Lepisosteus oculatus: one gene and its partner. The protein of the gene in region 2 purifies or fractionates together with the protein of the main gene of each other region. This does not show direct contact. Links are inferred from orthologs where the notes say so. Each region holds a gene or a part of one and is shown on either strand. Other genes may lie near its edges.

The links. The genes of interacting proteins can lie anywhere in the genome.
Region 1: the proteins of ppp2cb (region 2) and tiprl purify together in Homo sapiens (co-immunoprecipitation; 3 studies listed by BioGRID and IntAct, with this or other methods). This does not show direct contact. The link is inferred for Lepisosteus oculatus from reciprocal best matches to the Homo sapiens genes PPP2CB and TIPRL.

The regions. Positions count from the first base shown.
Region 1 is NC_090700.1:7,030,913-7,041,420, forward strand, and holds the start of tiprl (TIP41-like protein), read right to left. Parts: upstream 5,774-10,508; 5' UTR 5,696-5,773; exon of another isoform or gene 5,656-5,695; intron 5,174-5,655; 5' UTR 5,147-5,173; coding exon 5,043-5,146; intron 4,263-5,042; coding exon 4,083-4,262; intron 3,582-4,082; coding exon 3,482-3,581; intron 3,225-3,481; coding exon 3,093-3,224; intron 2,920-3,092; coding exon 2,824-2,919; intron 2,464-2,823; coding exon 2,401-2,463; intron 1,799-2,400; coding exon 1,646-1,798; 3' UTR 1-1,645. UniProt on the Homo sapiens protein: May be a allosteric regulator of serine/threonine-protein phosphatase 2A (PP2A). Isoform 1 inhibits catalytic activity of the PP2A(D) core complex in vitro. The PP2A(C):TIPRL complex does not show phosphatase activity.
Region 2 is NC_090698.1:27,325,060-27,335,567, reverse strand, and holds the start of ppp2cb (serine/threonine-protein phosphatase 2A catalytic subunit beta isoform), read right to left. Parts: upstream 4,874-10,508; 5' UTR 4,486-4,873; coding exon 4,384-4,485; intron 1-4,383.

The DNA.
Region 1 (10,508 bases), on a different chromosome or scaffold from region 2:
TCTTTCAGCAAACCAAGTCAATGTTGTCGTTGCAAAGCAAAACCAAGGGATCGGCAAGATGTGTACCAGGCTCACTAAGATTTTGGACTTTTCATCCAGTGGACATAAAAGAAAATGAACAAATAGACATTACAACTCTGGACATAATTCAACCATTTTACAGTGATCCAAAAACACTTTGTTGAGATACTGTAAGAGTTACTATTTCAAACACAAATTTAAGTCTGCACATCAAAAACATTTGGAAGAAAAACAACAAACTTATTTGGAGAATATTTTCAGAAACTCTGCAAATGTTTTATCCCTGCTGTATATTTAACATGAGTGAAGTAAACGTTGAATGTGTATTCCTTGCTCTGAATACAAAGATTTGTAGAGAAGCAAAGCATACTTTGCCTCTTTTTATAACTAAGGTAACTGAAATAAAATGTTAAAATGTGACATAGTACCTGAGGCATATTTATGTTGCAATCTGCCTCTTGGACTAGTTTTCAAACAAATAGATCAAGACCTTGGCAGAGCGAACCCTTCACAGAAATACTCAGTCCTGCATTAACAGGAATATCAGCAAAACTCTTTATACTGTATGTGCATTAGCCCCTTAACTGCCTTCTCACCCAGCTTTCAGGGAGGTTTGGGATATGTAGTATGAGTGTTGCATGAGGATTTCTAATTTCCACAACACACATAAACACACAATATCTGCCATTAACCTCTGGGGATGGAATTAAAATGAATTATTATATTAGAATGTTTTTTCAGGTCCAAGTCAGTACACCAATGATACTGCAGTATTCACTGCACTGGGATATGGAAAATAGCACCATTATATGTTTATTAAGATTACATCAAAGGTAAAGATTAGACATTTACACAACACACCCATTGTCAAGGGGGTTTAAAACATGTACACTAATATTACAGCTAACCTAAATTCTCACATTCCATTTGATGGGTAAATATTTAATTTCTCCTCATCATTGGCTTTTAGTGTAGGTAAGACATATACATTTTACAAAAGTCTCTTTAAATATCCATGGGTAAAAATGATGAACAATGAAAACAAGAGTGAGCAAAGGTTAATTCCACGCTGAAAAGCAGAAAGAAGAAACACATTTTGGCTATGGAGCCTTCTTTCAGTGAACATCTCAAATATTACTGGAACATCTGAAATATTACTTTTCAGCATGGAAAAATATCCTTTTTAGCCCAACAAGATCATCTGCAACAGAAACATGTTATGCATGTTCATATAGTCCATAAAACATGACTGTGTATATCTAATCTAAAGTATATCTACTTTAGATATCGAATATCTAAAGTCAGAACAAGTGCAAGTCCACATTCACTTTTTAGAAAAAAGGCCTTTATGAGTACAAGTCACAGATGTTTCTATTGTTCATCATAAGCCTTAAAAGCTACCTATGTTGTGAACACACCGGTTTATGCAGAGAATCTTGTTTAAATCTGAAGTGAAGACGAATGTTTCATTCTCCACCCATGACTGTGGACAACGGCCATTAGAGAAAAGACCGGCAGGGGTAACCCCATCCTGGATTTCCCCAGAAACGAAGAGTCTTGTGTGAGAAGCAGAAATCCAGAAAGCAGGAGCTACTCCTTTCTCCTTCCTCCCATCTGTTAGGATTCACGTTCGCTCTGGCTCGGTCTCTGTGAGCTTGTCCGGCGATTCTGCCTGCGGGCCCGTTTCTGGGAATGCCAGTTTCTCACACTCCAGCAGCTTCAGAGGCAGGTACTGGGAGATCTCATTGGGGTCCGTGTAGAAAGCAGGGGGAACATGCTAGAAAAATAAGCGTTTATTAACAAGCGTAATATATAAACGGCCGTGCACACATGAACAGACATCGCCACCTGCCTTGTCAGCAAAAGAATACAAGCGGCCTAAAACCAGTCCAAAACAGCCCTCGTCCACAAAATAATATGGAACAAGTAAAGTTTTATTCCATGCTGAAAAGAGAAGAAAAGAAAAAACGTTTCAGCTGTGGAGCCTTCTTCGCGTAGAAAAAGGGTTCTGAAGAAGGCTCCACGGCCAAAACGGTGCGTTTCTTTTCTTATATTTTCAGCATGGAATAAAACTTTACTTGTTCCTTTGGAGCCTACACACGCTGACACAGCTACCTACTTGAACTACTTCAACAAAATAATATGCCTGGTTGAATTAAGCATGCCCTTGTTATTAGCATAGTGCCGCCATCACAAATACAGATGAATTGTTTTATTGTTACACAAAGGTTCTGAAAGCGTAAACACCTTTCAAACATGTTTCCATTAGCTATGGCTATTGTGATCATTTTACAAATATTTGTCAAGCAACGTGATTTCTGCCCAAAACTCATTAAATACCCCCACCTTCGGGTTTGATAATAATAGTCACAAACATACCTGCAAGTCTGAAATTTTGCTTTCCCTGGTACTGAACTCCCTTAACATGTAATTCTTGTCGGCCTACAAGCAGCAGAAAACAAAAACACATCAACAAAGAATGCAGATAAGATCCACAATAAGTATTTTTAAATAAAATCTTCCACTCTCTTTTACTATCAAAAAGCTTTTTTTTTATTTTGCAATTGAATGCAACCTACTACTGGTGCATGAAATTAAATATATCTAATATCCATTAACGTCTTAAATAAAAGAATTGCATTACAACTACACAGAAGTTCAATGAAAAATTCAATTAATTTCAACACAATATTGACTTTTTACAATGACCACCTTTTGTAGTTCCATTATTTAAGAGTTCCCATTTCAGCACTAGAGGGGGGAAAAGGCTGCAGCAGTAATCATCTCAAGCAATCTACTTGCCTCATGATAGAGACGAGTGTCATTCATTCGAATCAGCACTCCATCAACCCGCAGGAAGAACCTCAAGAGCACGAAGAAGCTAGATGGCATCACTCTCTTCAGAACAAGAAAGCATTTTAGTAAGGATTTTTGAAGTCCATCATGCAAACCTCAATAAATCAGTTTTCCAAAACTTTGCTGTTGACTTAATTTAACACACAGTCAAACTCCAAAATTCAAATTTTAAATGACCTTCTTGCATGTCCATGTAAGAGAAATATATTACTCACGATTTTTACACTGATCATAGAAACCCCATGATCATGCAGTTCATCTTCAAACAGCAAAACCTCCTCAAAGAACATGATCTGCTCTCGGGCTTTAAGTTTTTCCATGTCAATACGGTCTGTTGTGGGGACTACCTAAACATTGGCATAAAAAAGGGTTTACAGGCATCTTGCAAAGACTGGAATAAAAACATTTCCATTCAACTGTCTTCTTTTCAAGCAAGATCAAACAAGAAAAATCACGTTCATCATTCTACTATAAAAAGAACAGCTGTCAACAGCTCTGACAGGGATTATTACTTCTCTTTTTAAAAAGAATCGGAAATGCAGCAGAAGGCTGGTATATCAAACATTAATATTCGTGCCGAAAGTCAAAAAGACTCAAATCTTACCCTTAACTTCCTCTCATCCCCCAGCAAAGTGCCTTTGTAATCTGTTGTGTATGTCCAGTCGTATCGTTTCACGATCTCTTTGGAGTGCTCCGAGTCAGCTCTACAAATGTCCACAAAAAAGGAAATATGCATATTACTGACCGAGACCAGGTTTCAGGGTCAGCATGGGTGTTTAATTCCACTGTGATCCACATCATAAGCTAGGTTTTGCTGCCATATAGAGAACATTACGAACCAAGAATGCACATGAATGAATCACACAACCAAATAATCATGGCAAGGCACAAACCACATCTACACACACAACATTAAATGATATTATCTCCTCTGAAAATATTCCAAAACATCAAAGGACAAGCCCATATGTTTACATAAATGATTACGTTTTTTAAAGGTTTTACACAATGCCTGTATCAACAAACGTAGTTCAAATAATGGTCCCCATTTCTAAGGTCAATAAAGAGAAATCTAGCAGAGCTGTGCACTTCTAGTTAGACAAGAAGGAAAATTGATTATTATAAGAAGGGAGTAGTTTAGCACCACTGAAGAATCTGGCTCTTTGGTGCTGAAGTTGACAGGTAACGAACAACTTTGCTCTCACCGGCTTTCCTGCCACTCCTGTGCACAGGCCACTTTGACAGAGTCCTGCATGTTATTGACGCGCTTCAGGGCATCTATCGCATTGAACTTGATCCCAAAGCCGTCAGAGTGCTGTAGCTGTAGCACATTGTCCCCAAAGAGCATTTCAGGAAGCGAAGGCATATGCATCTCGTCGGCCAAACTGTTAATATATTGGAGCGCAAATTAGTCCTCCTTTGAATTACTGTATGCATTTGAACAGCCTTCTGCTAGTCAGAAGAAGAAAGGTTTTGCTACTCTTTCCAAAACAAATAAGCACATAAGAGAAGTTACAGATGACACTAAGGCCTTTTAGGTTGTTAGGTTGCTGAATCAGCTACTTATTTACTTATGGTATGAGTTTCAATGATATGTCTAGATGCTTCCACAGCCCCTTGGATAAAGAAGAACTTTCTGTTTTCAGTTTTAAATGCATTTTCCCTCAGTTTCCATTTGTACCCTATGGATCCTGTTTCACTGCTGATTCTAACAACACCTACTAGGCACCCTAGATTCTTAGATCTGCTAACTAAGCGATTAATTGAGACAAGACAAGAAAGGTAACAGGCTACTTTCCGTTTGACAATATACAGATTTATCAGTATCGGTTATATTAAAGTGGCTAAAAGTTCAACAGAAAACTGCCACTGTTTTTATCTAAAGAAGTCAAACTTTGAAAAGAGCTGAACAATACAAAATGTCTCAAACTTTTTTTCACGCAATACAGTAGGCACATCTAACATCACACCAACAATATCATTCCCTACAATTATGCAGTTGTTTTTCATGCTTTTTGGTTTTTCATCACTCTTTTCATGTTTAAGCACTAAAATACTGTATATTAACTGCTATATATTACTAGAAGGATCCAACAAAACAAGTAAAACAAACATTACTGTAATGCACAGAAATCGATAACAACATATAAAAGGCCCGTTTTTACCGTTCAATGTCTTTAGATTTCATGATGTGGGTTTTTTCTGCCATAACCTTCCAAGGACCAAATGTAAAGTCCTGCTTACTGCTTTTAAATCCATGAGACAACATAGCTGTCAATCCTGGGGGGAAAAAATCCTACAAAAAAGTTTTTAAAATTAAAACTTACACAACGACACATAATGGAGCCGAATAAACAGGACAAAAGCTGAAACAAAACGTGGTGGGAGAGATACTAAGAATAAATGTTATGTATTTTTAGTAGAAGCTGGAACAACTATTAATCTGGAAGTGCTTTACAGCGTTTTATGTCTTGGGTCACGAGTCAGATGATACAAAACATCCGATTTAAGTATATGTATTTATTACTCATGAATAAATGAGGATTATACAAGACACGTCTACTACAATTAGTAGAAACCACCTCAAATTAGAGATGCGTAATATCCCTATAAAAGTCAAGTTCCCAACCCCACTATTAACGACTATGCTAGTTTCCCTGCAAGCCTGTTTTATAAACTCCAAACGTTTCTGAACCTATGGATTTTAAAATCTACCATTTAAGTCAGGAATACCCATGTTACACGAGGCTTGGTATACTATGAAATTCAAAAACCTACCTTCGATCTCTTTTTTTAAAATGTCTTTTTGAATTATTACCTGACTTTCCAGCAGCTTGCCCTGCTGCTACTACGTGCACGACACTAAATCTTTCCGACGTGAACACACTTCAATTCTTTAGTTCCGCTTGAGAAAGTTAGTTATGTCTCACGGGTCTATCTTGTTAAAGTTCAATGTAAAGGATTATAAAAATGTACAAAGAGGGATATATATTAAATTATGTCGTTAATTATGTATTACTTTAAAAGCTCAAATATAGGTAAACGTAACAAATCCAAGCATCCGAGGATTCTCTCCTAAATCTCGTCCGGAAGGAAACACGAATTGAGTCACCTTGAATGACAGACCGTGTTGGCATTATAGTGTATCTGTCGCTGGATAAGGTGTCTTTCTAGAGACGACTGAGATTTTAGAAATATAAGTGCAGCAAGGCCCTAATTGTGAGATTGTTAGAACGTCAAAACTCTTATAAATATTTAGGTATTCCTACTATATCCATTCATTCTTCCCACACGGCTATTTGCTAATAACCCCCTCTTCACTGTAGACCTTCCTAGGTAGTCATTTTCTTGAATTAGGAGATGATAAAACACAATCTCCAATCAATGCAACTTTGTGACAATTGGTCGTAAAATCTTGTTGGAAGCAGTGTCTGCATTGTTAATATTGGAGAAGTGGATTAAACTCTGAATACTATTACTATTTTTCATGGAGTCTACTGTTCAACAGCCAGCACATATGATGGTTTTATCTAAGAGGGCTTGGAGTTGGAGACAGGAATCTCCACACATAAAAAAGGTCCCTCACAGCCCAAGATTGCTGTGAAAGAGCAAATAAAGCTTTAAAAGCTTCTGAATAGCCCATCCACACCTCCTGATCACACACTGTGTTCAATACCCCTCTGTACGGCTTAATACTTAAAGAAAGACCTGATGATAGCTTCACATATGACTCAGGTACAGCACCAGAAAGTGAACCTCAAAGTTTATGTCGCCTTGAGCTGTTTGAATACTTAATGTTGCAAAGGCACTGCTCCTCAACCCGTCTTTGAAGTGTGATTTATCTGAACGTCCTGGACCCCAACAAGAGGTCTTTAGTCTTTCAGGCTGATTCGGAAGCAGCACACTGTTAGACACCACAGGAAATAATTTGTCTCTGGGATTAGGACCATACAGTCTGTTTGGAGCCCAAAGTGCTCAATTAAAAGCCTCCTCAGTAAAAGAAGCACTCAGGAGGCTGAAGTCATACCAATACCTTGGCATGAAAGCAAGAAAAATGCAAAAGAGAATTCCATCTGGGAGAAGTTCTTTATGAGGAAAACTCATATGTTAGGACTCAGTGACCATGTAACACAAAGTCATTATTTCATATTGCAAGGAACCAAAAGTCAGTAGGTGGAAAAGACATTGTTCATTCATAATGCAGAGAGTGCTTTAGTATCTTGCATTTTTGGCTCAAAACATATTCTTAGGGAAAAACAGCATTATCTCTATTTAATGTATAAGATTAAACATGAAATGTATGCTCTTGATTGTTTACTATAAATTTCATATTTACAAGTCTTTATTTCAATCAGCATCACAAACCAGGATAAGTAGACTGAACTAGAAAAGCTAAAACTAGCTGAAATTTTCATTTAACTTTCTAGTAAGGTGCATACTAAGGTAGCATATTAGAAATCAATTGTTTTTAATATTTTATATATAACAATATAAAGACTCTAGTGTTGTATGGCAAGAAAACAAAAAAAAACATTTTACATAAATATGATTATAGAAAATTGACTTCCAATAGGATTTTGAAAGCAGGTGAAAGAACATTATAATGACATCATAATTATGCTGCTGTTTTGATAATGTTATTAAACCAGTTTTTGTCTGACACAGGCAACACTTTTCAAAATGCTGGAAATCAAAAAGTCTTCTCAGATCTGTTATAGTCTGACACAATGCTTGTGTTATTTCTTTTGAGTCTCTTATTTTAAATAAGGAAACAGATCTGTTTAGATGTATGATTTTTAACTGATACATTTTTTTACACAAGTATGAAAAAAATACAAATCTGAGCACGACTATAGCTTAACTATTAATTATGCTGTACTGCACTCTTGTGTCTGAAAATAACCTTCTCCACGGTGCTCCTCATTTCCTGCAGTCGGAGTCTGTTAATGAGTGGGTTGAGCAGAGGGGGGACAATGAACAACTGCAGAGACAGGAAGGTCCGCACCGCTAACGGCACACTGCTGTTGTCCAGACGGCGGCTGATGACCTCGAAGAGGACGTTTATGCAGAACTTCAGGAACGTTATGATGTGAGGCAGGCACGTAGTCAGAGCTTTGCCTCTTGCTTCCTTTGAAGCCTTCAAGCAGGCTCTCAGTATTCTCTGATAGGAAATCAGAACGAGAAGCATGGACACACAGGGAAATAAAACTGTTGCAAGGATCCCAAAATAGCTTTCCAGTTTTGTGTCAATAGCCCAATTTCCACAAAACATTTTGTCAGTAGTATTGGCACACAATGGAACCCTGGAACTTAATCCTACAAGTACACCAAAAATCAAGACAGGAAACAGCCAGGCAAAAGCAACAAGCTTAGATACAGTCCCAGGCGTCATGATTCTGTGGTATTGCAGTGGCATACAGATGGACACAAATCTGTCATACGCCATTACTGTCAGTATGGTACATTCGTAACCAGCATAAGTATAAAGACAAAATACCTGAAAATGGCACCAGAAGCGGGTGATCTTATGCACATCTGACAGCAAGTTACTCAGAATTTGAGGATACAGAGCAACACTCCAGTACAAGCCATTTACAAACAGGTTGCTCAAAAACATATACATGGGCTTGTGAAGGTTCTCTTTTAGATAAACAATAAGAATGAGGAAACCATTAAGAAAAATAGTTACCAAGAAAGCTACAAAGATGAAGACAAAATACAAGTATTTCATGCTGCCCATTTTCTCATACGCTGTTAGAAGCAGCACTGTAACATTGGGAGGGGAAGTCATTTTCTCCTCATCTGCCAGAATAACCTGGGTCACACTTAGAAGCTGCAAAAACAGATAGAATTTTAAAACAGAACAGGAAATGTATGAACATTATGGACTGTTTTCTATCGCGTAAGTGAATTGTTGCGCATCTGTTTCCTAAAGGTAAACTACCTGGTGCCTTGGATGAAAGTTAATGGGATGAATCTTTGATAAATCTCCACCATTTCCAGATGGTGTTTTAAAATGGTCAATTAAATATTTTCTAACCATATTTCTAGTGTGTAATTAAAAAAATAATATTTTACATGCATATTACACACTATGCTAACAGAAATAGAAACATTAATTGGTCAAGTGAAAGAAAATGAAGTGACAGAAAATTAACAAATATCTTGTTTAAATCTGTTCTCGAATGACCTGTTGTGCAGCTGACTTCTCAGTTGAACTAATGTCGTTTTAGAGCACAGACTACACACTTACCTGCTCCAAGCAGTCTGCTAGAGTACAAGTCGCAGGGCTGGAGTAGGACCTGATATACAGTAGGTTTGTTGAGTCCCAGTTAGGGAGCTGGCGAATTGGCGGATCTGATCACAGAAATGTCCAGGGAAGGTCACAAATCTCTGTGGAATGATCTTCTTTGCTTTGCCCAGTTTGCTTCCATTTCCTGTGCAGGTCCGAAAATCTAAAGCGCAGCTGTACTCCAGTGCCATTCATTTGTTGCAAGTTATAGATAGCAATTTCCAGTTTTACTATATAGTTGGCATGCTAATTCCAGTTTGTCCAATTTCAACACTTCAGAGGCTGAGACAATTTTTTGGCTCTAAAAACATTGTCGAGTTTAAATTGTTCTATCAATAAAGAAAACCTTTTTATATTGGATTGAACACAGTAGTGCCCCAAATACAAACCTTTCTAACCAGAGATTAATACAATGCACAATGGGCTATTTTTGTTTATGACAACTGTGTATTTTCAATAAATTAGACCAAGGCTGTTTTGCCTTTACTTGTTAATGTCTTATTTGCTGCCTCGGTGAGAGACTGAAGACCATAAAGGCATCATAGTTCCAGACTGAGATCTATTTATTTGGGGTGTTTTGGGGGAGACAGTTCAAATACTGCAATCTTGCAGTCCACTGTGGACATGGACTAAAGGTCAAGCACAGTGTTAACAACAGACCAGCCCAAATCCAGGCCAAAAAGATTTTATCACATCAAGTTTCCAGCTAATTAGACACAGAACGTTTAACAGAAAGCATGCGAAAGACAACTCTGTATGCATATTGAGCAACTTTAAACCAAGTCACATCACAACTGATGCTATACCTTCCAGAAACACAGCAAATCTGGGATATTATAGAATCACAAACAATCAAAAACAATTTCCTCGACAGGCCCATTTGGTCGATGACTGGACTGGCCCTTGTGGAATTCGCCAGATAACGAAGATGTCATAAAGCATCTCTAAATCCTGAAATTGAGCTTCTGAGTTGTCTCAGCTAGTGAAGGTGCTCGATCAAGCGCAGGTTAAGGTCTTTGATCTAGGTGTCTCAGGTGCGAGCCAGGGTCATGTCACTGGTTGACTGTGCTCTGCCAAGCACAAGATCAAGATTAGTCATCCTCAGCAAATTTGGATCTCAGTGAAACAGATTTCCCTGCCACATCCTGTATACCTTGTACCCTATATTTCCTGGATGCCATAACACAATTAGAGCAGGAGAGAGAGGGTTATGAGGGGGAGATGGAGGAATCTTAACTGTGATTAAGTTAATGAGTGGGTTGAGCAGAGGGGGGACAGAAGAAGAAGTTCTGCCTTGGCAGCCGACCTGTTCCTTTGGCGCAGTGGAGTGGATTGGAGT
Region 2 (10,508 bases):
AGGTAGTGAATGCCATGCAAAAGACACAACTATGAAAACTTTCAAAGCAATGCAGGGATAAAGTCACTGAAAAGCAAAAACCAGAAGGGTACAAAAAATACTGAGGTGTCTACCCTTGTGAGCACAATCATCGAGAAACGCAGGGTGTATTGTACCACCAAGTCACTACCTAGATCAGTCTTTCCCTCCAAACTGAACGGCTGGGAAAGGAGGAAACTAGTAAGCGATCCGACCATGAGGCCAAAGGTGAATATTACAACTGCTACCGAGTCCAGATGAGATGGGAGAAAACGTGCACCAATCAACGATATCTGGGTCACCCCACAGATCTGGCCTCTATAGCAGATTTACAAAGTTAAGAATTTAAGCAATACTGCAGAAATATGGCAAATGGTTTTGTGGTCAGATGAGAGAAAATAGGAATTTGTTAGTCTAAAACAAAGTATTATATTTGGTTCAAACCCAACACATCACTCAATCAACACCATCTGTGTGTTAGGTATGGCGAGTACCGTGTTATGTTACTATTCTGCTTCTCATTTATGGTAACATAGATGGAGCAAAGTACTTGTGAATCCTAGAGGAAACTCTGCTTCAGACAAAACAACTGGGACAAAAATTCATCTTTCAGCAGGACAGTGTTCCAAAGCACAAGGCCACAGCTACAGTAAAGTGCCTTAAGAGCATGAAAGTGAATGTCCTTGAGAGAGGTGACTTGAATTCTACTGAGAATCTGTGTAAAGACTTACTGCACATAAGAGATCCCCAAGCAACTTGTGAGACCTTGAGAAAATCTGCCAAAAGTGCAAAAAGTCAGAAAAGACTTAATCAAAAGGACCTGCAGCTAGAATTGCTGCCAAAGTTGCTTCCACCAAATATTCACAGGTCTGAAAACGCAATCAACTTATTTCTGCGTTTCTTCTTTAATTTTTACTAACATTTCTAACATAATTAATTAAGTGGCATGGTGGCCCAGTCTTACGGTGCTGGAGCCCCACATTTGATTCGTGGGTGCTCTTTGTGGAGTTTGCATGTTCTCCCCGAGTTTGCTTGGGTTTCCTCCCACAGTCCGAAGAAATACCAGCAGGTTAACTAGCTTCTGTTTGTGTCTGTGTGCGCGGTGATGGACTGGCATCTTGTCCAGAGCATACACTTGCCTTGTTGACTGTTGCTTGCTGGAAGTAGGCTCCGGCCCCCCTGTACTGGATAAAGTGGTTAGAAAATGCATGGATGGAATATTAAGTAGAAAGGGTCTGAATACATTTGCAAAGCACTGTAATGTAAATGAAGGACTTTAAAATAGATGTAGTATCCCAAGATTGCAGAGAATTTCCCCAAGCTCCCCAAATGTGTGGGTATATTTGAGTTAATGAGTCTATAGCTAGATGTGACCACTTTAACATTCAGGAGTAGTAACTGTAAGCCACCGACAAAAAAGCTGAAGCATTAAGAGTGTTCCCCGATAATGTATTTGACAAAAAAAAAATCCCACATCATCACTTTTGCCAAAAATTAATCAACAAGGAACCGTGCAGTAGGTTAACTCCAACCAGAGACAGAGAGTGGAAACTGGACATCTGGGACAGCAGACGTCCCTTAAACAGCTTGTGCAGTTGGAATTAGACGTAAAATCCTATAAGTGATTTAAAAAGAAAAAAAACATGCAACCCTGCAGAGGTCACAAGAAAGAAGCAGCACACAGTCTGCTCAGGTCACAAACACCCAGACGTGTTTCAAAGCCCCCCGCCACAGCAGAGGGGAAACTCCACTCTCCGAAGCTCACAATCTCATCCACCTCTTCAGTGTCCAAGCAGCAGAAAACACCACATGCTAGTCACATCAAGCTGGCGTGAACATCATGGAAATGAACTAGGGGACCGACATTCAAGCAATGGTGTTTATTCACCCGGGAGAAGGCAAGGGCAAGACTTTCCAAAAACTCTCTTTAAAACACAGGGAGCTACTAACTGAAAAAGAACTGTAGGAAAAGAAGTGATGCTTTCATCCCTGTGGTTGTTCCAAAGATAAAAACGCTGACAATACAATCCCAGGAAACCAGGCTTGACTTTGGGCTCAGAAGCAGTCGGTGTTTGAGACTGAAAGACTCAAAAGCCTGTTTCTATCAGGTGGATGACAGTTCTGCGAGCAGGCAACAGCTGGGGTAGAAAGAAGCTAAAGAAACATGGGATCATGTAGGTTTGTTTCAAACAGACTGGTTGCGAGGAAAAAGGCAATGAGGGAAACAGAGCCCCTATTGCTATCTCAGAAGAATCCTCAGAATGGAGATGGAGGAGCCCAGCACTCAGTTAGTAAAGAGACATTGCAGAGGCACACACTTGGGCATGTTACAACTTTTATTGGAGCATTTTAATAAAGCCATCATTATTAGCAGACTCATCTTAATGTTCCCAAAGCAGTTCTGATTGGCCATGACCGGAACCCAATTATTTTTTCTCTCCCAGCAACACCATCAGAAAAATACTTTTACCCTTAAATTAGGAACAGTTGTATTCTTCATACTTACATATACAATAGCAGGCCTAGAACCTTAGCACATAGCCTATGAAAATCCTTACTTGTAGTTATCAGATCCTAACCTTCCTATAAAACAAGATTTAAACTTGATTTTAACTGATGCTAAGGTGATTCATTCTAGTTTCTGATTCAGCACAGCGTTGAAGGAATTCAGTGGCCTATTAATTTGCCTTAGCGACACAATTTCACACACTGCCCAGGATCCAGAGCTAGACAACCTATACCCACAAACAAAATCACAAATTTCAAAGCCATTTCTTAAGTGAAAAGCATGACTCCCATCTAGTGATGTGTTTGAAGTTCTTAACTGTCCATGGTGTTTTAATCCCAACCCCAGGTCTCTCTGCTTGGTGACTATAAAGATTCTGGAGGTCCGGTGTTTTAGTAGGTTTTCATTCCATCTCATTTCTAAATGACCTAAATCAGCTTGTTACTGGCTATACCAATTTAACGCTGCCCAGCTCTTCAGTTGTCAGTGAATGAAAGAGACCTAGAAAACTGGCGGACATGCTAGGCCACTGATATTCATTGCTGGTCCTGGGGGGCTGTTGTTTTCAGGTTTTCATTCCAAGCTGGACTCTGCTGTTCACTCTGCTGCTCTGTATTATTTCAAGTCTTTACCCATTGCGGATTACCCCTACGTAAACCTGTGAAACTGGCAAACTGCAACCCTTTAGGTCCAAGAATTAATATTTCTGTATTAGACTCCCCAGGACAGATGACAGACCCCCTATCAAAAGGTACAGTGTCATAAAAACCCTTTGAGCAACAAAATCATTCTCCAACTCATGCAACCCGCCCCTTAATTACTATATTGATCCTACTGGTCCGCAGCTAAATAATTAAGAAGCTGGTTGTAGAAATAATGGAAAATAGAGCAGGCTGGAGGTTGAGGAGCCCTGCTTTAGAAGAAAATCCCGAGTTTGTTCTTTTTACACGGTGCTACTGCCTGATGTGCGCTGGACACAGCAGGTGCCTCGTCCCGGGGCAACTGGACCTCGAAAGCTGGCGTCCTCGTGCACAAGGGCCGAATTCAGCAGAACCTGCAAGACTGAACTGACCGTGACCTGCGAGCATCGAAACCCGTGAGATTACGCGTGCCACCAGCAAAACAGACATTATGATGGTGCCTACGGAGGTTAAAGTAGTACTTTATTACAAACTCCATGACTGTGAGAACATTTTTCAATGTATGGTTGCTTTACATTCACAATATTGCTGTGTTCCACAAACACAGCATCGTTGTTTCTCGCTTTATATTATGAGTGTTCTTCAAAGTTAATATTGCTTGTTTTAAACCCCACTTAGGAAAAAATTAAGCAAGATAAGTTTTTTTTTGTTTTATATCGCGTGGTTTAAATTAATTGTCATGACTCTACTAAAATGCACTAACGTGCATATACAACGCTCAATAACGAAGTGGATAAACACAGCAATTTCAGAACAGAAAAGCCTCACAAACCACAACGAGCTCTCCTGTGAGCAGCACGTCTGGTCCTTTTTGCTGATGCGCTGGAACGAGCCCCACCAGCCCGTCCCGCACAGGCGCACTGAGCTCTCCCCACCTGACGGCTGCGGACGCCGCATGCGCCACGGATCACTATCTCGCAGCTCTCACCCAGCCCGCAGCTGACGCGCCGCTCGCGTTCAATCGGTCACTATTTGGCAGCGCCGTCGCTGGGGCCCCAAACATCAGCAGCCCACTTCACTTTACCCGAGTACAGCGAGCGTTCACAAGCTAGGGGCGAAATGCCGGTACATTACACCAAAAAAGACTGACCCTCAGTTGAAACTTGAACACACACAGTCACTTCCAAGATGCATGGTAAAAACCATAAATTGCCGTACCTTCTCACACAGCGTTCTCACTTGGTTCTCAGTCAGCTGCTTGCAATCGTTCAGCTGCTCGACCCATTGATCCAGTTCTTTTGTAAAGGCTTTATCGTCCATTTTTAAAAACACACACGGCAAAGCGGTTTTAAGCACTAAGTTGTTTCGAGCAGTGACTCGTTTCTTTTTTTTCTTATCGAAATTCGTCGCTGAAAGGCTGAAGCTGGAGCTTTGCAGAGCGGTGCGAAGGGGGGCACCTCGGCTTTCGGAACAGATAGCTGAAATCGGCTCAGAAACGGCGAAATCAAACTGGTCCGGGCGTTTTCAAGTCCCCTAAGACTTTAGGCGCTCTGGTTCCTGGGTCCAGCGGGTGGGTAGCAGGGGATGAGCCGCACTCTTCCTTCACTGCCAGTAGCTCCTCTTCCCCCCGACCTTCCCAGCGAAACTCAGCTGTGTAATGGCCGACCGGCTCTGCGCTCTCCTCCCCCAAACGTCATCACAATGGCATTTCCACCACAACACCGGAGATTTCACAAAGCAAGAAAAACACTCGGTGAAGAGACGTTTCCCTCCAACTGCAAATAGCTTTAGCAAGTTAGCAGTTATTCTTCTAGCGCCCTCCGCTGTCAGAGAAGACCTAGTTGGCTATAAACTGTGGGTTAGTGCTTCTCAACCCCGGTCCTGGAGGGCATCTGTGTTACAGTTTTTTTTTCCAGTAGAGCTCTTACTCATGAGCCTATTTATTCCTTTAAATGAACTACTGCTTGGTTAGACGTTTTAAACCTGTTTCTGCACGTGTTTTAATAAATGATAATTGGATTGATTATTTATGATTCAAGTTTTTAACATGATCTTTCAGCCACACAATGCCTTTTTCATAGGGACTGCCAAATTGATAGTACCTGCATTACCAGAAAAAATGTATCTTATGCTTTAGTTTTGGGTGGTATATTTCCTATATATGAATGATTGTTAAAGTTCCACGAGAAACAAAAGACAACCACATTTCAAAACTTTATTTTGAACTAAATAGAATATTTTTCATTTTGGCAGAGGATTGTGTTTCTACAGTTTATTGTGTAGGGTCCCAGGCACAGTGAAAATCAATTGACATTTGACTGCTGAAACTATTGTGAGTGCCTCTGTGTTTCACCAGAGGGCCCTCTACTTCCACACATGTTCAGAAATATTCAAAACATCTTGTCATCTAGGTGCACAGTGCAATGCACAGTCTGCATTTGAAGGTCTGAGGGCCTTCTGGATCAGCAGGTGTCTGGTGGTAGTAAGTGTGGAAATAGATACTGTGCTTAGAGCAATCAAACTCAATAGCATGATGCAACCAGATGAAATCCCTTGCCACTGCCAGAGTTAGTGAATAATCTGTTTTCATCAATCCCTGCTCAGATTACACTTTGCTTGATGCTTGCACATCTTGCTGTTTAACTGTTAGGACCCCAAAACAAAGATAAAAACTTTTCTAGAGTATCTTCTTCAACTAATCATGTATAAGCAGATGTAATTTTTGAATTAATCTGTAGACCCTCTTGTTTAAATGTTTAAACTGCCAAAAAGTCTTGGCTTCCATCTTTTTCTTCTTCACAAACGTGAATTTCAGTTTTATTTGCAGTATTAACATTTTAGACATAGACAGGATGACAAACTGATCTAATTCAAGTATTTTAACTGCTCACAAGAGCCAACATAGTCCTTCCACTGAACTTCTACAAGATGAACAATGAGAGACAAAGCAGGGAAACATTCCTTTGCACTAGCTGAAGAGACTCAGGGACTATAGGAATAATAATAAGAGTGCTCTTTTAATGGACTTGAGACATTTCCTCTGCGTCAATATAGTTCTGTACATGCACATTTGGAGATATAAACAGAAATCCAAGATTAAGGAGACTGGACTGAAGGACAGTCCTTTAGCCTAGTCTCTTTAAACAACAGTCTGGCCCAGCTAGCTTCTTTTATACTGCTCCAGACACACTACTGATGACCCCAGTGATCGATGACCCAGCTTGCTGCTCACCAGAGGCTCCTGGGAAGTGTAGTCTTCTCCAGCGTGTCCACGTTCTCAAATATAAGAACTAAAGTGTTTGGACTGATATAGACAGTAGCACCCTTCCTCCCTCCTACAGTGTGTACACTGGATGTCATCTTTCAGCTCTGTAACAATGCTGCTCTCCTTTGCATATCTATTTGGATTATGGTGTCTAACTTGACAATAGGTCATGTATAGTACAGCTTTAGCTGCTAACATGTTATGTAACTGTATGCAGTATAACTATGCTGTTGGCTTTTTGTAACATTTCCACAGTCCGAAAAAAGGTTTACTATGTTAACATAAATGACTTGTAAGATTTATTAGCTCAATACTGTACAGATTCATTACACTATTGTATAACGTATTATCTTGAATACATTTAATATTTATATTACATTTAATATGCAAACATAGGAATACAAAGCATTACCTGTTTTGTATATATACTTTCCCTATATCCCTGCCAAGGATACATATTAAATGAACCTAAAATTTGCATTAATAAAGAAAAGCAAAGTGTAGCAGGCTGGTCTTTGAAGGGACTTTAATAACAACTGACCTGCCACTAGCCACCGTCCTCTACTCGAGAATAATTTCACTGGGGTTAAATTGTTCATTTTTATTATTTTTACAGTGTGGTAGATGACACATTCTCACATGGGTGTTAATCAGTGATGTGTTTGGGTACATGGGTATAGGGACTTTCACTGTGTTAGTGATGAGTTGCGTTTTAAGAAGCAGTCAGGTCAGACTGCTAGAGTTTAACAATAGGCAAGGGGTGTGGGTGGGAGCTTCTCTTTACAGTCTTTTGAATGTAAGATCTCCTGTTTACCCTGAAATAAAGTCTCCAGCATCATATAGGGTCATCCTTGTGAATCTTCATGGGCTCAGATCAATGAGTCCACCTTATCTAAGGGTGGGTTCTGTCACATCAGTACTGTACCTTTTATAGAAAAATACTGACAAATTTGTCAAAAATACATTTTAATATGACAAACAGTACAGAAACAAATAGTGCTCAGACAATGTATAGGATTAAATCATGGATAACATTTTGTTCTTTACAAATTGAGCATAAAATTCTAGGAAAGCATGAAGGAAAATATTATCTTGGCAGGACTCTGCAAAAAATACAAAAATATATTTTTTAAGAAATATGAAAGAAACATATAAAAGCTTTCAGACCTAAAGTTTTCAGAAAGGACTCTTGAAAACAACCAAAAATAGAACCATCAGACATAATGTTCTTGTGTTCTCTGCTTCTCTCTAATTCCAGTACACTGAAAAACAGAAATATCAAAGGTAAAGTTAGTTTAACTGACAGTCAAACAGCTGACAGGTGATAATTCACTTTTTTCCTGAAAAATGTTTTACGCATTTTTAGAATTTATCTCATATTTTGTTTAAACATTAACTCTTTGTTCCACTATGTTATATATTTCAAGATGTAAAGAATCTGTTAACTTCAGATAGTGGTCTTCAGCACAATAAAGTAGATTTCACAAGCTGTATACATGTAGTAAAACAAAAAATAATGAGTGACACAGAAGCTCATGTACTAACATACCTGGTGGTGGCTGACTTGCTGCAGAACAATTTGGATCAGAATAAAATGTCCTCAGTTGCTGAGAGTCCACTGCAGGTATCTGAGAATTGCTCATACCAAATGGATACCCATTACAAAAGAGAAAGGGTTCACAATTGTAATACGGACAGGAGTTGTTTAATGCCTGAAGATGATGAAACTGAGATCCATGATCTGTAGTGCTTGCAAATGCGTGGTAAGTACTGGCTGGTTGGAGCTCCTGCCTTCCAGAGCACACAGGAGCACTGTGAAGCTGCTGTGTCCACGCACCACCTCCCTGGTGCAGAGACCAAAAGGGTAAGACGGGCTGGTTCCAGTAGTGTGGTGCCTGTGAATGCAGAGTCTGCTGCTGGCTGTTCTGTAAGATGCTGGGCCTTAAAAGTCCCTCACTGCCCGGACGTCTCTCAGGGTGCCTTTTGTTTGATATACAAGTCTGTGTCTTTGTCTCACCCCAGGCTGGTCTCAGCTGCTGCTGGTACCTGTGGCATTCTCGCTGTTGTGCGTGGGAAACTGGACAGGGCAGAGTACGCTGCAGGGATGAACCGTGATTCTTGTGCCAAGGTGCCCATGTTGTGCGCTGCTGCTCAAACACCCTCCCCACAGACACGAAGTCAGAAGATGAAACCTTGGTTTTTGGAGTGCAATTTACGTCGCACATCATACCCTGCTCAGAGGCTAATGTGTGGGGAAAAGGCTCCAAAGATTTGGCTTTTTTTTTAATCTGCTGCTCAGAGCCATTCTGCAGTTTATATATTGTCTCCAGAATTGTCTCACTAAGTGCTTGCACATGAGGCTGTAGCTGTAAAGAGTCATGACCATTTCTGAGAGCAGTGGTCTCCAGCTGTAATGATGTGTCTCGGATCTCCTTAATTGCCAGAGGACAGGTCATGACCTCATTGTCCTTGATGTGTCCCGAAGGAAGAGTCACAGGCTGCTGCTGTCTACTGACAGTTGTTTTTAACTCTTTCCTGTCGAGAAAAGAATTAATAAGCACGTGACTACTTTGAGGCTTGTGGTCATTGAATAGTGTAACAGTTATCGGTAGATGCTGTCTTTTCAGACCTGACATTTGATTGGTTTACGTCACCAGATAATTAACCCAAGAAGTTACAATATTTTTTCTTTGTTGGCTTGTCTAATATCTATAGGTTTCAAATATGGGCTGACAAGGCTTCCTTGCAAATTAAAAGTCACCCGGTATATTATGTTAATTTTACTGTATGTAAGCTGCTGAACTGAACTCAGAAAAATATATGATTATCTTTTTTTGCAAGGGTTGTTTTTGTTTTGTTTCACAGATTTTGAACACAGTATGGCACTTTAAATGTGGTAATTCATGTTCACATAAATTATGAATTATGAATACTGAGTATTCATAATTATAAAATAAGTTGTGCATCATGTCCAAAAACTTTAAATATTTACACCGACCACTCGATTTCCCAAACAAACCAACCCATTCAATTTCAGTACTAAGATCTTTTGCTGTTTGGTTGCTTTATTGTCTTCAAGAGTTTAGGTTTTCATGATGTAGGTCTCACATTCTAATACATATTATATTGGAAAAGGAGGCTGTGTAAAACTGTACGGTGCAAAACGATACAGTGCAAATTTGGCTGTGCTGTGTTTTTTAGTGGACCACCAATATAATAATAATTGCTTACACTTATAAAGCTTTTTTCTGGACACTCCACTCAAAGCGCTTTACAGGTAATGGGGACTCCCCACCACCACCACCAATGTGCAGCCACACCTGGATGATGCGACAGCAGCCATAACACACCAGAATGCTCACCACACATCAGCTATCAGTGGAGAGGAGAGCAGAGTAATAAAGCCAATTCAAGATGGGGATCATTAGGAGGTCATTACTGGTAAGGGCCAATAGGAAAATTGGCCAGGATGCCAGAGTTACACCCCTACTCTTTTCGAGAAACACCCTGGGATTTTTAATGACCACAGAGAGTCAGGACCTCAGTTTTACATCTCATCCAAAGGACAGCACCTGTTTACAGTATAGTGTCCCCATCACTATACTGGGGCATTAGGACCCACATGGACCACAGGGTGAGCACCCCCTGCTGGCCCCACTAACACATCTTCCAGCAGCAACCTTAGTTTTTCCCAGGAGGTCTCCCATCCAGGTACTGACCAGGCTCACACCTGCTTAGCTGCAGTGGGTTGCCAGTTGTGAGTTGCAGAGTGATATGGCTGTTGGTGCTATCATCAAGTACAACTTCAATGCACCCTTTTCACGCTTCAAACATTTTCTTATTTGTTAATTATTTAAAACTGAGTTCTTAAGATGGAGTACTGTGGTCCCCATGTCAAGATCACAAGGCTGGGTTAGTAGACGACTATGACCTGGGCTCCCCCCTGTTCTGCAGTGTAGGATGGTTTTATCACTGCCAGTGGTAGAGCTGGGACTATCTGGCCATGACTTTCCTAGTTCCAGTGAAACAGCACAAGAATGCCAACAAACCACTCAGCCCAACTAACTTAGCAATGACC